3 linked regions of the Callithrix jacchus genome follow. The protein of the gene in region 1 interacts with the protein of each later gene in a biochemical or structural test. Links are inferred from orthologs where the notes say so. Each region holds a gene or a part of one and is shown in the gene's direction. Other genes may lie near its edges.

What was found.
Region 2: the proteins of HIF1A (region 1) and KPNA6 form a complex in vitro, tested with the Homo sapiens proteins (2 studies listed by BioGRID). The link is inferred for Callithrix jacchus from reciprocal best matches to the Homo sapiens genes HIF1A and KPNA6.
Region 3: the proteins of HIF1A (region 1) and NAA10 form a complex in vitro, tested with the Homo sapiens proteins (4 studies listed by BioGRID and IntAct, with this or other methods). The link is inferred for Callithrix jacchus from reciprocal best matches to the Homo sapiens genes HIF1A and NAA10.

Annotation. Positions count from the first base shown.
Region 1 is NC_133509.1:96,454,389-96,459,341, forward strand, and holds part of HIF1A (hypoxia-inducible factor 1-alpha), read left to right. Parts: intron 1-1,542; coding exon 1,543-1,665; intron 1,666-1,786; coding exon 1,787-2,220; intron 2,221-4,953.
Region 2 is NC_133508.1:68,746,483-68,752,073, forward strand, and holds the start of KPNA6 (importin subunit alpha-7), read left to right. Parts: upstream 1-2,160; 5' UTR 2,161-2,163; coding exon 2,164-2,257; intron 2,258-5,591. UniProt on the Homo sapiens protein: Functions in nuclear protein import as an adapter protein for nuclear receptor KPNB1. Binds specifically and directly to substrates containing either a simple or bipartite NLS motif.
Region 3 is NC_133524.1:149,841,536-149,845,596, reverse strand, and holds the end of NAA10 (N-alpha-acetyltransferase 10), read left to right. Parts: intron 1-302; coding exon 303-348; intron 349-450; coding exon 451-566; intron 567-764; coding exon 765-809; intron 810-1,844; coding exon of another isoform or gene 1,845-1,981; coding exon 1,982-2,066; intron 2,067-2,582; coding exon 2,583-2,864; 3' UTR 2,865-2,930; downstream 2,931-4,061. UniProt on the Homo sapiens protein: Catalytic subunit of N-terminal acetyltransferase complexes which display alpha (N-terminal) acetyltransferase activity. Acetylates amino termini that are devoid of initiator methionine.

The DNA of each region.
Region 1 (4,953 bases):
TTTCCCTGTAGAGTCGGGGTTCTCACTATGTTGCCCAGGCTGTTTGTAAGCTCCTGAGCTTAAGCGATCATCCAATCTTGGCCTCCCAAAGTACTAGGATTACAGGTGTGAGCTACCATCCCTGGCCCATTACACCTTTAAGTTGGAGAACTGTCTGGTAACAATAGGCTTAACAGGGTTTACATGGGAAAGGACCTTATAAATTCTTTGCCCAATTTAGTTCAGTTTCCATCACTATTTTGAAACTTTAAGTATAACATGAAAGTAACAAGTCTTACATAAATTAAATACTTAGTAACTGGTCTGTTTTATTCTAGATCTGTCTTGATATTAATTGTCCTATAAACACAACAAAAATAATCTTTAAAGGCTGGACTGACCAAGACTAGAGCTGTCACACAGGGCTCTATTTCTAAATCTAGAATGATTCCATTTCAGGACTTCCTACATTTAAAAATATGCTCAGGAGTAGGGTAACTTAGCTCTGAACACTATAACTTGATAAATGAAGCATAAATCAGCTTTAATAAGTGGTAAATAATTCTACATTAAATATTTGAATAAAACTGGCAAGCTAAGAGTAGGAGATTTGATCTCATAGCCTTCTGGTATAGGAGTATCTCCTATGCCCTGCTTGCTTAATTTACCTAGCACAAAAAAAATGTTTGATTCATTTTGGTTTTTGTCTAACAAAAATAATAGAATGATGAAAGCAAAATTCCTTGTTTAGAATACACAGCTATAGTTTTTTGTTAAAATTCTTGCCCAGAACTCTTAAAATAGTAATAATGTATATTCATTCAGGTGTATGCAGGTAAAAGCACTTAAGTCTCTACTCCTACCCTCAACTGTAGCTGTGAGATTTTTAGGTAGCTCAATCACCATAGAAGTGTGCCTTCTCATTTCAAAGGTAAATTCCAGAGAATGTAGCATCTAGTTAATTGGTCAGTTAGGTACCATTGTGGGATGTAAATTACCAAAAATTGGTTTTATTCTTTAGAATAAGATGTTTCTTTTAATTTTAAAAATGATGTTATATTACATAGTCAGAAATACGTACATTGGCAAAATTAGTTACCAGTATAAGCTTCAAAATGTCATTTTTTTCACTAAACTTTTAAAATTTTTTTTGAGACGGAGTCTCACTCAGTTGCCCAGGCTGGAGTGCAGTGGTATGATCTCGGCTCACTGCAACCTCGGCCTCCTGGGTTCAAGCTTTAGCCTCCTGAGTAGCTGGGACTATAGGCGTGTTCCAGCATACCCAGCTAATTTTTGTATTTTAAGTAGAGACAGGGTTTCACTATTTTGGCCAGGATGGTCTTGATCTCCTCACCTCATGATCCACCTGCCTCAGCCTCCCAGTGCTGGGATTACAGGCATGGACAACCATGCCGGCCTCGTTAGATAAAATTTGATAAACATGATGGATTTGGTTGTGTGTTTTTTGTTTTTTCCTGAGATCTAGTTTGAAAATTCTGACAACTAGCAAAGTATATGGAGGCTTCTTCAGGAAAAACTGAATATATTTAATTCTCTTTACAGCCTAACAGTCCCAGTGAATATTGTTTTTATGTGGACAGTGATATGGTCAATGAATTCAAGTTGGAATTGGTAGAAAAACTTTTTGCTGAAGACACAGAAGCGAAGAACCCATTTTCTACTCAGGTAAATGAACTTATTTGTTTTATATTAAATTTCATTAATTTTTATTCTGAAGTGACTTTAACTTGTTTTTTATATATAAAGTGTGGCCATTGTAAAAACTCATGTATTTGCTGTTTTAAAGGACACCGATTTAGACTTGGAGATGTTAGCTCCCTATATCCCAATGGATGATGACTTTCAGTTACGTTCCTTCGATCAGTTGTCACCGTTAGAAAGCAGTTCTGCAAGCCCTGAAAGCGCAAGCCCTCAGAGCACAGTTACAGTATTCCAGCAGACTCAGATACAAGAACTTACTTCTAATGCCACCACTACCACTGCCACCACTGATGAATTAAAAACAGTGACAAAAGACCGTATGGAAGACATTAAAATATTGATTGCATCTCCATCTCCTACCCACATACATAAAGAAACTACTAGTGCCACATCATCACCATATAGAGATACTCAAAGTCGGACAGCCTCACCAAACAGAGCAGGAAAAGGAGTCATAGAACAGACAGAAAAGTCTCATCCAAGAAGCCCTAACGTGTTATCTGTCGCTTTGAGTCAAAGGTATTTATGTGTAACATTCAAGTTATAGCTCTTTTATTATTTTTGAGAAAATGTATGTGACAGTACATAATTTTTAAATGTATAGCAAACCTGATGTATATGCTCTAAGACAAATTCTTAAGCACTCAAAAAGTTTTCTAAATTAACCTCATGTATTTTTTTCTAAAATAATTATAAATTCTAAAATTACCTATCTAAATGTAAGAGTCTTCTGACACCTTTAAAATAAAATCCAGCTCAGGAAGTTCTGTAATCAGATATACTTCTTGAATTTGTTTAAATCAAGACTAGTTAACTACCCTCGCTACTTAGATATTTCCATTTCTTTTTTTTTTTTTTTTTTTTAATTAGAGACAGGTTTTCGCCATGTTGGGCAGGCTGGTCTGGAACTCCTGACCTCAGGTGATCCGCCTGCCTCAGCCTCCCAAAGTGCTGGGGTTACAGGCATGAGCCACTGCGCCCAGCAGATGCTTCCATTTCTTAGAGCTCTTTCTTTAAGCTTATCTGAAGAAAAGCCCTTCCAATTTAAGGGTTATTTCCAATTGCACATTCCAAATTGAGTCTTCCATCTTTAGCATTCAATATAGATATTTACAAGCCCCTCTTTCAAACTGTTATTAGAGTTACTTATATTAAAGTTGCTTTTATTTTTCATTACATATTTGTAGAACCTTAGCTCGCTCTCTCTCTATATATATATTACAGGCAATATAGGTTTTTGAACTCTACAACAGGAATCTAAGCATGACTTAAGACATTACTTCTTAGGAGCTAGTTCAGACAAACATATGGACACAACCCAATTTTTAAGTTATACTTCCTGTGTATAATTGGCAAGGGGATTTCACATATTTTAAGTTTGAGGCTATAGCTAGAAGAAATATGTTCTGGTTTATAAGTGTGTGGAAGAGGGAAATGATTGCTACTCTAGTATGTCTAGACTGAGCCAGATATCAATATCAATAGTAAGGAATCACTGTTATAGCCAGAGCACATAGGTTTTTTTTCCCTGCCCAGCATTCTCACCTTGACGTAGTGCTGGGAGGTCTTTTCCCTAAGCTAGGAAAAGATCTCAGGACTTTAGATGAACTCAGAAGTACTACTTTACATTCTTTTATAAGTTACTGTGTCACTAACTCAGTTTTTACCTTGAGCTCCGCTAGGGCAATTACAGTATCTTGGGCATTTTAGTGATACTAATACTTAGCTCATGACCTAATGTGTAGTACTTCCTCAATAAATGGTTGTTGGGGCAGGGCGTGGTGGCTCAAGCCTGTAATCTCAATGCTTTGGTAGGCTGAAGCATGTGGATCACCTGAGGCCAGGAGTTTGAGACCAGCCTGGCCAACATGGTGACACCCTGTCTCTACGAAAAATACAAAAATTAGCTGGGTGTGGTCCCTGTAATCCCAGGTACTTGGGAGGCTGAAGCAGAAGAATTGCTTGAACCAGAGAGGCAGAGATTGCAGTGAGCTGAGATCATGCCATTGCAATCCAACCTGGGTGACAAGAGCAAAACTCTGTTTCAAAAAAAAAAAAAAGGTTGTTGGACTGACAGATGCATGAATACAGTAATATAAATGACAGTCACTTATCATTTACAGTTTACTGTTAGCTACAGAGGATGGGTATCCAGTTTTCTGAATACCTGACACATCAGGTCACTTTAGCAATTCTTTTTAAACATTAATTCCAATGTCGCATGCACTGAAAACTTTCATGAAAGGAACCTCAAAAATACTTGGAAGTGTTTTTTCCTACCTTGCAGGTAATTATTTATAAAATTAAAGTGCTGTACCAAACCAGGAGACTTAAAGCTTTAGGATTAAAGATAAACCATGAAAAGCATAACTACTAAGTACTGTTAGTACTACAATGTTTTCATAATAGACTGAGTTACATTTCTTAAAGACAATATATGTTTATAAGAATTTTTAAACCTGCTTGTCTCTATAATAGAAGGTTTATAGAATTAAAAAAAAAAACTAAAGAAAACTGCAAAATAAGAGAGCAGTTAGATCACTTATCTATTTGGCACTCTTAACTATCTGGAACAGCAGGGAGTCTTTATGATTATGCATTTGGTTGTGGGGAGTCTTGAAAAGTCAAAATAGTATAACAAAGCTGATGTACTTGACTCATTAGAACAGTTCTTCACTATTTAATATTAATGTTAGATATATATAGTTCATGTTTGATAACCAGATTAATATGGAGGGCAAAATAGCAGAGTGGTAAGAGCAGGGGAGAGGAGGTGCAGATATAGAGACCTAGAGTGTACTTCAATATCTGCAACTAGTGAGCAGTAGGACTTTGGGAAAGTTACCCAATAGGCCACGGGGTTCTCATTTATAAAAAGGGTATGATATGCCTGTCTTATCTACCTTGGGAACCTGAGTGAGGTTAAAATGAACTAATGAAATGTTTCATAAACTGAAAACACTATACATATGTGAAACTGATCTTGAATTTCAATAGTCCCAACAATATCACTACATTGTTATATTAGGTGGAATAAAAGGATAATGTTTAACTATTTTGACTCTACAATGTCAATTTAGTTGTGTTTGGCTCTGTTTTATAAAACAGGGATACGCATAGTGTAGAAAATGTTCTGCTAAAAATTAAGCTTTGAATGCCAGGCGCTTATGCCTGTAATCCCAACACTTTGGGAGGTTGAGGTGGATGGATCACTTGAGTTCAGGAGTTTGAGACAAGCCTGAGCAACATGAT
Region 2 (5,591 bases), on another chromosome or scaffold:
AAGTGCTGGGATTATAGGCGTGAGCCACCGTGCCCGGACAATTTTTTTAATTAAGTGAATCTTTTTTTTTTTTTGAAACAGTCTCCCACTGTTGCCCAGGCTGGAGTGCAATGGCGCAATCTTTGCTCACTGCACCCTCCACCTCCTAGGTTCAAGCAATTCTGCTGCCTTAGCCTCCCGAGTGACTGGGATTTACAGGCACCGTCATGCCTGGCTAATTTTTGTAGAGACAAGTTGACTAGGCTGGTCTTGAACTCCTGCCCTCAGGTGATCCACCTACCTCAGCCTCCCAGAGTGCTGGGATTATAGGCATGAGCCACCTCGCCTGGCCTATTAAGTGAATCTTAATCTTTTTTTTTTTTTTTTTGAGAAAGTCTCGCTCTGTCTCCAGGTGCCAGGCTGGAGTACAGTGGCACGATCTCAGCTCACTGCACCCTCCACCTCCCAAGTTGCTGGGACTACAGGTGCGCGCCATCACGCTCAGGTGATTTTTGTATTTTTTAGTAGAGATGAAGTTTCACCATGTTGGCCAGGATGGTCTCAATCTCTTGACCTTGTGATCCATCCGCCTCGGCCTCCCAAAGTGCTGGGATTACAGGCGTGAGCCACCTTGCCTGGCCAGTCTTTATCTTTCTTAGTACAGGCGTATCCTTGTGTCTCTTGAAAGCAGTTTACTTTGATTATTGCTTTTGCCCGGGTCTAAAGACAAGGCTTTAGTTAACTTGAATTTGGTATTAGATACTAGCAGGAGTCAATGCCTTCTTTAGATAATTACAGCCTATATTAGTTTGCTAGGGCCACTATAACAAAGAACCACAGATTGGGTGGTTTAAACAACAGAAAAGTATTTTCTCACAGTTGTAGTGGCTAGAAGTCTGAGATCAAGTTGTCAGAAGGGACCAGGCACAGTGGCTCATAGCTGTAATCCCAGCACTTTGGGAGGCCAGGGCAAGCCTATCATGATGTCAGAAGATCGAGACTATCCTGACCAACATGGTGAAACCCCATCTCTACTAAAAATGCAAAAATTAGCTGGGCATGGTGGCGGGCGCCTATAATCCCAGCTACTTGGGAGGATGAGGCAGGAGACTAGCTTGAACCCAGGAGGCAGAGGTTGTAGTGAGCCAAGGTCACACCACTGCACTCCAGCCTGGTGACAGAGCAAGACTCTGTCTCAAAAAAAAAAAAAGTTTACAGAAGAGTTGGTTTCTTAGACCTTTGTTATTTATTGGCTTCTAGATAGCTGTCTTCATGTTCACATGGTGTTCTCCCTCTCTTGTTTTAAGGATACCAGTTATGGATTAGGGCCTACCCCAGTAACTTTATTTACCTTAATTACCTCTTTAGGGACTCTATTTCCAAATTCAGTCACATTTTGAGGTATCAGGGTTTAGGACTTCATCGTATGAATTTGGAGCAGACGATGATTCAGGCATTTTAGGGCCCATACCTATTTTGTATTATCATTGCTAGTTTTTTTGGTTTTGAAAGCTTAGAAAGTGCATGGCAACATTAGACATTTATTCCCTAGAAATGGAAGGTGTAACTTCAGAGACCTATTCACTTTGAGAGAGTTCCTTGTCTAAGAAAACCCACAGAAAACTGGATGCAGTGGCTCATGCCTGTAATCCCAACATTTTGGGAGGCTGAGGTGGGTGGATCACCTGAGGTTGGGAGTTCGAGACCAGCCTGACCAACATGGTGAAATCCTGACTCTACTAAAAATACAAAAATTAGCTGGGCATATTGTCAGGCGTCTGTAATCCCAGCTACTTGGGAGGCTGAGGCGGAGAATCACTTGAACCCAGGAGGCGAAGGTTGTGGTGAGCCGAGATCATGCCACTGCACTCCAGCCTGGGCAACACAGTGAGACTCTCAAAAAGAGAGAGAGAGAGAGACAGAGACAGAACCCAAAGACAGTCTAGGACAGTCAGATGCTAGAAAAGATTTATTCGTATTGTAGATCTTAAAAAATTCATCGACAGCAAGTAAGGGAGTACATAATGGAAAAAGCCACTGGCCTGCTGTTTCCCTGAGATTCCAGATGTGCTTTTGCAGATGTTCCTCCTTCCAATCTAACCTCCCTTGTCTGCTTCCCCAGTGAGGTCATAAGCAAATATTTGTGTTAGTTTCTTGTCACCATGGTGACTAAAGAAGCTCAGCATGGTGCTCCTTCCAGCTTCACTGTCAGCTGTGCTTGAAGGAGAGGCTAGCGTCCAGGACAGCCTAGGCTCAGTCATGAAAAGCCACGTGTCAGGTAAATAGGGGACAGCAGTTCACAGTGCTGCCTTTAGAAATCTGTCCTCTACCATGTTAGTCTCACAGGGATAATCAGGCCTCAAAGGGAGTGCAGTGGCACAGACACAGCTCACTTATAGCCTCAACCTCCTGGGCTCAAGTAATCCTCCTGCCTCAGCCTCCCAACTAGCTGGGACTGCAGGTGTGTACCACCATGCCAAGATAATTTTTGTATTTTTTGTGGAGATGGGGTTTCACCATATTGCTCAGGCTGCTCTGGAACTCCTGGGCTCAAGCAGTCTGCCCACTTTGGCCTCCCAAAATTCTGGCAATATAGGCTTGAGCCCAGGCTACAATGCCAGTTTAAAAAAAAAAAGAAAAAGATTATTCCAACCTGGCCAACATGGAAAAACCCTGTCTCTACTAAAAATAAAAAAGTTAGCTGGGCATGGTGGTGGGCACCTGTAATCCCAGCTACTCAGATTACAAGAAACTCACTCAAGAAAATCACTTGAATCCAGGAGGCGGAGGGTACAGTGAGCTGAGGTCGCACCACTGCACTCTAGTCTAGGTGACAGAGCAAGACTCTGTCTCAAAAAAAAAAAAAAACTTCGTGGTAAAATGTATGTAACAAAATTTTTCATTTGAGTGTACAATTCAGTGGCATTAATTACAATTACACTGTTATGTGACCATCATCACCAATATCTATTTCCAAACATTTTACTGCCTCTAACAGAAATTTTTTTTTTTTTTTTTTTTGAGACGGAGTTTCGCTCTTGTTACCCAGGCTGGAGTGCAATGGCACGATCTCAGCTCACCACAACCTCTGCCTCCTGGGTTCAGGCAATTCTCCTGCCTTAGCCTCCTGAGTAGCTGGGATTACAGGCACGCGCCACCATGCCCAGCTAATTTTTTGTAATTTTAGTAGAGACGGGGTTTCACCATGTTGATCAGGATGGTCTCTATCTCTCATGATCCACCCGCCTCGGCCTCCCAAAGTGCTGGGATTACAGGCTTGAGCCACCGCGCCCGGCCCAGAAATTCTTTACCCACTAAGAAATACCTCCCTATTTTCCTTTCCTCTCAGCACCTGGTAACCTCTAAGCTACTTTCTGTCTCTGAGTTTGACTCTAGGGACATCAAGTAAGTGAAATAAGATTTGTCCTTTTGTGTTTTGCTTATTTCACTTAGCATGTTAATTTCAAGGTTTGATCATATTGTAGCATGTATTAGACCTTCATTGCTTTTTATGGCTGAATGATATTCATGGTATACATATACAGTAGTCCTTTTCTTATCCAGAGGGAATATATTTCAAGATCCCCTGTAGATAGCTGCAATGGCAGATGGTACCAAACCCTATATACTATGTTATTTCCTATACATACATACCTATGACAAGGTTTAATTTATAAATTAGGCCCAACAAGAGATTAAAAACAATAATAAGAGAACAGTTATAACAGTATGCCAGCATCATCACTCTTACACTTTGTTAAGTAAAATAAGGATTACTTGAACACAAACCCTGCAATATCTGCTACGAGCTGGCAGTGTATATAGTGTGGATACACTGTACAAAGAGATGATTCATGTCCCAGTTGGAATAGAGCGGGTTAGTGTGAGATTTCATTATGCTACTTGGAATAATATGAAATTTAAAACTTATGAATTGTTTATATCTGGAAATTTCCATTTAATATTTTCAGACCACAATTGTCTATGGGTAACTGACACTTTGCAAAGCAAAACTGTGAATAAGGGAGGAATAGTATAAGAGTACAATTGCTGGATTATATAGTAGTTACGTTTAATTTTTTTAGAAACCACTATTCTGTTTTCCACAGTGGCTGTACCATTTTCCATTCTTACCGGCAATCTACCAGGTTCTAGATTCTAGCCAATGTGTGCTTTTATTATTTTTATTCCATCCTAGTAGGTGTGGATTAGTATCTCATTGTGGTTTTTAAAACTTTTTTTTTTAAAGATGGAGTTTTGCTCTTGTTGTCCAGGCTGGGGTGCAATGGCGTGATCTCAGCTCACCTCAACCTCCGCCTCCCAGGTTCAAGTGCCTCAGCCGCCTGAGTAGCTGGGATTACAGGTGTGCACCACCATACCCGGCTAATTTTGTATTTTTAGTAGTGGGGGGGTTTCTCTATGTTGGTCAGGCTGGTCTCAAATTCCCGACCTCAGGTAATCAGTCTGACTCGGGCTCCTGAAGTGTTGGGATTATAGGCGTGAGCCACTGTGCCTGGCCTAAAACTTTTTTATTTATGTTTTTCAATCAGCTTTCTCAGGTTGAGTCATTGTAACTCTACCTCCTGAGTTCAAGTGATTCTCTTGCCTCAGTTTCCCAAGTGGCTGGGATTACAGGTGCCGGTCACCGCCACACCCAGCTAACTTTTGTATTTTAGTAGAGACGGGGTTTCACCATGTTGGCCAGACTGGTCTCAAACTCCTGACCTCAAGTGATTCACCAGCCTCGACCTCCCAAAGTGCTGGGAGTACAAGCATAAGCCACCGTGCCCAACCTTGATTTGTATTTCTCTAAGGACTAATGATGTTGAACATCTTCTCATATGCATATTGGCCATTTATATATGCTTTTAGAGAAATGTCTATTCAAATTGTTTACCCATTTTTAAATTGGGTTGTCTTTTTGTTCAATTGTAGAAATTCTTTATTCTGGATGTTAAACCGTAATCAGATACGTAATTTGGAAATATTTTCTCTCATTCTAGAACATGTCTTTTCACTTTCTTGCTGGAGTGCAGTGGTGCGCTCTTGGCTCACTGCAAGCTCTGCCTCCTGGGTTCAGGCGATTCTTCTGCCTCAGCCTTCCTAGTAGCTGGGACTACAGGTGTGTGTCACTGTGCCCAGCTAATTTTTTTGTGTTTTTAGTAGAGATGGGGTTTCACCATTTTGGCCAGGCTGGTCTCGAACTCCTGACTTTGTGATCCACCTGCCTTGGCCTTCCGAAGTGCTGGGATTACAGGTGTGAGCCACCATGCCTGGCCTTCACTTTCTTGGTAACATCTTTTGTTGTTTGTGCTTTTGGTATGATGTCTAAAATTCCGTTGCCAAATTCAAGGTCATAAAAATTTACCCTTATAGTTTCTTTTTTTTTTTTTTTTTTGAGATGGAGTTTTGCTCTTGTTACCCAGGCTGGAGTGCAACGGTGTGATCTCGGCTCCCCGCAACCTCCGCCTCCTGGGTTCAAGCAATTCTGCCTCAGCCTCCCAAGTAGCTGGGACTACAGGCAGATGCCACCACACCCAGCTAATTTTTGCATTTTTGGTAGAGACGGGGTTTCACCATGTTGACCAGGATGGTCTAAGTCTCTTGACCTC
Region 3 (4,061 bases), on another chromosome or scaffold:
CACTATGTTTTCCAGGCTGGTCTTGAACTGCTGGGCTCAAGCGATCCTCTTTTCTTGGCCTGCCAAGTAGCTGGAACTCTAGGCGTGTGCCACCACACCCGGCATGCATGGGGTTTTTAGGCAGCAGAGGGTGGCAGTATCAGCTGCGCTGATCCAAGAGGCTCCCAGCCCTCCCCCAGCTGGGGTCTTAGGTGGCTGTAGGGCCAGCCTAGAGTTTGCATGTCCACTCTACGTATGGCAGGGGTGGGGGTGGAGGTGCCTACACAGAGCTCCTTTGCAGCCTCACCTTCCTCTCTCTCCAGGGAAGAAGACCCAGATGATGTGCCCCATGGACATATCACCTCATTGGTTTGTAGAGTCCACCCAGGCTCTGGTGGGGGTGGAAGTGGGGGTTAGTTGGGGCAGCCCTCAGGGTCCCAGCCCCTCATCCCCTCTCTGCTCTTCCACCAGGCTGTGAAGCGTTCCCATCGGCGCCTCGGTCTGGCACAGAAACTGATGGACCAGGCCTCTCGAGCGATGATAGAGAACTTCAATGCCAAATACGTCTCCCTGCATGTCAGGAAGAGGTGGAAGCTGGGCTGAGGGAAGGGGGATTGAGGGGAGAGATGCTGCCTTGACGGGAGTCCTGGGGGCCTTGGCTTTTGGTGAAGACCCGGGAAGTGGGATTGGTGGGAAGGAGGCACCAGAGGGGAGGGGCAGGGCCTGGACATGCTACCCTACCTGGCCCAATCCGTGCAGCTCAGCAGTGCCTTGTTCTCCTGCAGTAACCGGGCCGCCCTGCACCTCTATTCCAACACCCTCAACTTTCAGTAAGTAGATCTTGGTGTCTGTAATGGGTTGGGGCTGGTCCCAGGTCTGGCTGTCAGGGCCGCTGAGACCAGCTGAGCTGCTTTCCAGGCAGGGGGTGGGCTAGCTACGGGGAGGAGGCTGTGGATCCCAGCGCTGCCAAGATGCCTCCCCACTCACTTGGTGGCTGATGGCTGAAATGTGCTCCATGTGTGTTGTGATGGAGGAGCTCTGGCCCATGCTGGCTGAGGCTGGTGAAGGGCACAGGGTTGTTTAGTCATGTTTGGGAATAGAGATGTGTGGGTCTCTGGCATGAGCAGATGCTAAGGAGCAGGACTCTGTGTGACCAAGCGCCTGGAAGCATCTAAGAGAGAGCAGAAGCAAGGAGAATGCATGTTCAGGAAGAAAGGGCCGGCGGCCAGGCAGCCTAGTGGATGGGGCAGGTCTGCCGAGGACCCGGAGGCCCCGTTTGCCTGGCCCAGGAGAGAGAACCTGGCAGTCAGTGTGCCCAGTAGACAGTGGAAAAAAGTGCTTGCAAGTGAAGCTGGGGTGGGCTACCCGTGTGCCCGTGGAGGGATGCTAACTGCACTCAGCACCAGTTTGACTGTTGGGAAGGGCGGTGGCCTCGGCTGGGTGCTGGCAGGAAGGATCTGTGACCCAGATGAGGATGTCTGGTGGAAACTGCTTTATAGTGAAGTCAACAGTCCTCATGTCTGAGGTCTGACAGGGCCAGCCTTCCAGGACATGGCCACCCGAGCCTGCACGCGTGCCTCCCCAGTGCGGGCTGGGCTGTGCTGCATAGGGATGCAGCCCTCAAACGGGCTCACCCACGTTCCTGTATTTTCATCACTGTGGTGAGGCAGCTCAGTAAGGGATAGGAAGCAGGGCAGAAAGGGAAGGGGAAGGCTGAATTCAGGGCTTCAGCTCACAAGAAACCACAGAAGGGGAATCCTTAGTAGCCAGGCTAAGGACACAGAACAGGAACAGGACAGGGGTGGGGCGGGCCACTGTTACCTGGAGCCTTTACTGGAAGTGGGGCCACTGGAGGATTCTTTCAGGCTGGACTTGCTGTCTCAGGATGGAGCCTTCAGGGAGAAAACATGTCACCTTGCTTCAGTAGCCATGATGCCAGGAGCAGAGGAGGATGTGTCCTGGGTATGGGTCTTCCTCCTTGCTCTCTGCCCTCTGCCCCCAGGATCAGTGAAGTGGAGCCCAAATACTATGCAGATGGGGAGGATGCCTACGCCATGAAGCGGGATCTCACCCAGATGGCGGACGAGGTGAGAGCGCTGCAGTTTAGCCAAGCGAGGCCAGTGGGGTCGGCCCTGTGGGCGGGGGGGAGGTGGCGGCACTTGAGAGCCCTGGGACAGTGGCTGGAAGCAAGACCAACTTTGGGCGCCAGCCCTTGTGGCCACATTGCCAGGACTCACGGCCTCAGTTTCCTAGGCTGGGCTTTAGAGGAGGCTGTCTGCCTAGCAGCAGCCTGGAGGGTGGTGGGAGAGGCAGACGGAGGAGGCTTTTAGAAGGGAAGTGGGACAGCCTGGGACCAGTGGGTGGCCTGCCTGCTCAGAGGTAGTTCTGAGTCAGGGTTCTGCCCAAGGTGGCAGGGCTGTTGAAGGGGCAGCACTCGGTCGTGGGGGCCTCCATGGTAGTCAGTGAACCCAGGGAGCAGTGGGCAAGGCTCCAGCCAGGTGTCCCCACTCAGTCCCGTGTGTCTTTCCTAGCCCTGCTGCTTCTCATTATGCCCGTCCCCTCAGCCAGCGACAAGTCCAGGCTCCCCTTGTCTGGAAACTTAGGCCCTGTATCTTTGCTCCCGCTTCTCCCTGGGCTCCTGGCGGCAGCTGAGGCGGCACCTGGAGCTGAAGGAGAAGGGCAGGCACATGGTGCTGGGCGCCATGGAGAACAAGGTGGAGAGCAAAGGCAGCTCACCTCCGAACTCAGGAGAGGCCTGTCGTGAGGAGAAGGGCCTGGCTGCTGAGGATAGTGGAGGGGACAGCAAGGACCTCAGCGAGGTCAGCGAGACCACAGAGAGCACAGATGTCAAAGACAGCTCAGAGGCCTCCGACTCGGCCTCCTAGAGCCTGCCCCGGCCCTTCCTCACCCCACGAGCTTTCACAATAAATTCGCTCTATGGCACTGGGGAACTTTGTGTGTGTGTGTGTGTGTGTGTGTGTGTGTGTGTGTGTGTATGCGCACGTGCGCTTGCACATTTAGAAGGTGTGTTTCTCCAGCTCCTCTGTCTGGTGGGGATGTGAACCTCACAGCCTTTTAAGCCAGGGCATCCTGCCAGGCCCGAGTAGAAGGGAGGAGCTTTGTGAGAGCCTTGGGGGTGGGACTCCCCAGTCTCATAACCTTCAGCAGCTGTGGCCCCAGGGAAGGAGGCCCTAGACTTCCGGGAGAGACCCTGCCTCAGAGGCCTGCTCGGCCACGCCGAATGTGTTTTGTGCAAGCCTCGGCCGCTCAGGCTCAAAGCTCAACAGCGGGCTCCCATTCTTCAGTACTTCTGCTTGGCTCTTGAGTGTCCCACCTCCAGCCCTTTTCTCTCCTAATCACACTTGCTTTGGGCTACAGCAGCTCCACTACACCCCGTGGGCTTCAGATGTAGACATCCAACTGCTCATTGGGCCTGTCTACAGCTGTCCTGTCTGAGTAATGACCCAGCCAGATGCCCAGTTGCTCAAGCCCTGTCAGTGGTCCTTGAGTCCTCCCTCCCCTGCTACCCTAATGGTCAGTGAGTCCATGATACCTCTTGGGTCTGCTCCCTAACCTGAGTTTGCAGTTGAAAATAATTGATTTTTAGTACAGTTCCCCCCGTTTCTCCTACTGACATTTTGTATTAGTTGGTGTGTTGGTTTCTGTTGATTAGCCAATACTGATATGTTATTGTAAAGTGTAGCCCATGTTTCACAGTAGGGTCCTTGTCTGTGTTGTACAGTTTCTATGGGGTTACACAAATGCATAAAGCTATGTATCCCCCATTACAGTTTCATGCAGAATACAAAACTGGGCAGCTGTTGGGTATGGTGGGTCACACCTGTAATCACAGCACTTTGGGAGGCCGAGGTGGGCGGATCAGTTGAACTCAGGAGTTGACCAGCCTGGGCAGCATGATGAAACCCCATCTCTACTAAAAATCAAAAACAGCGAGGCGTCGTGGTGCACACCTGTAATCCCGGCTACTTGGGACGCTGAGGCCGGAGGATCGCTTAAGCCTGGGAGGTGGAGGTTGCTGTGATCCCAGATCATGCTACCACACTCCAGGGACACATATATAT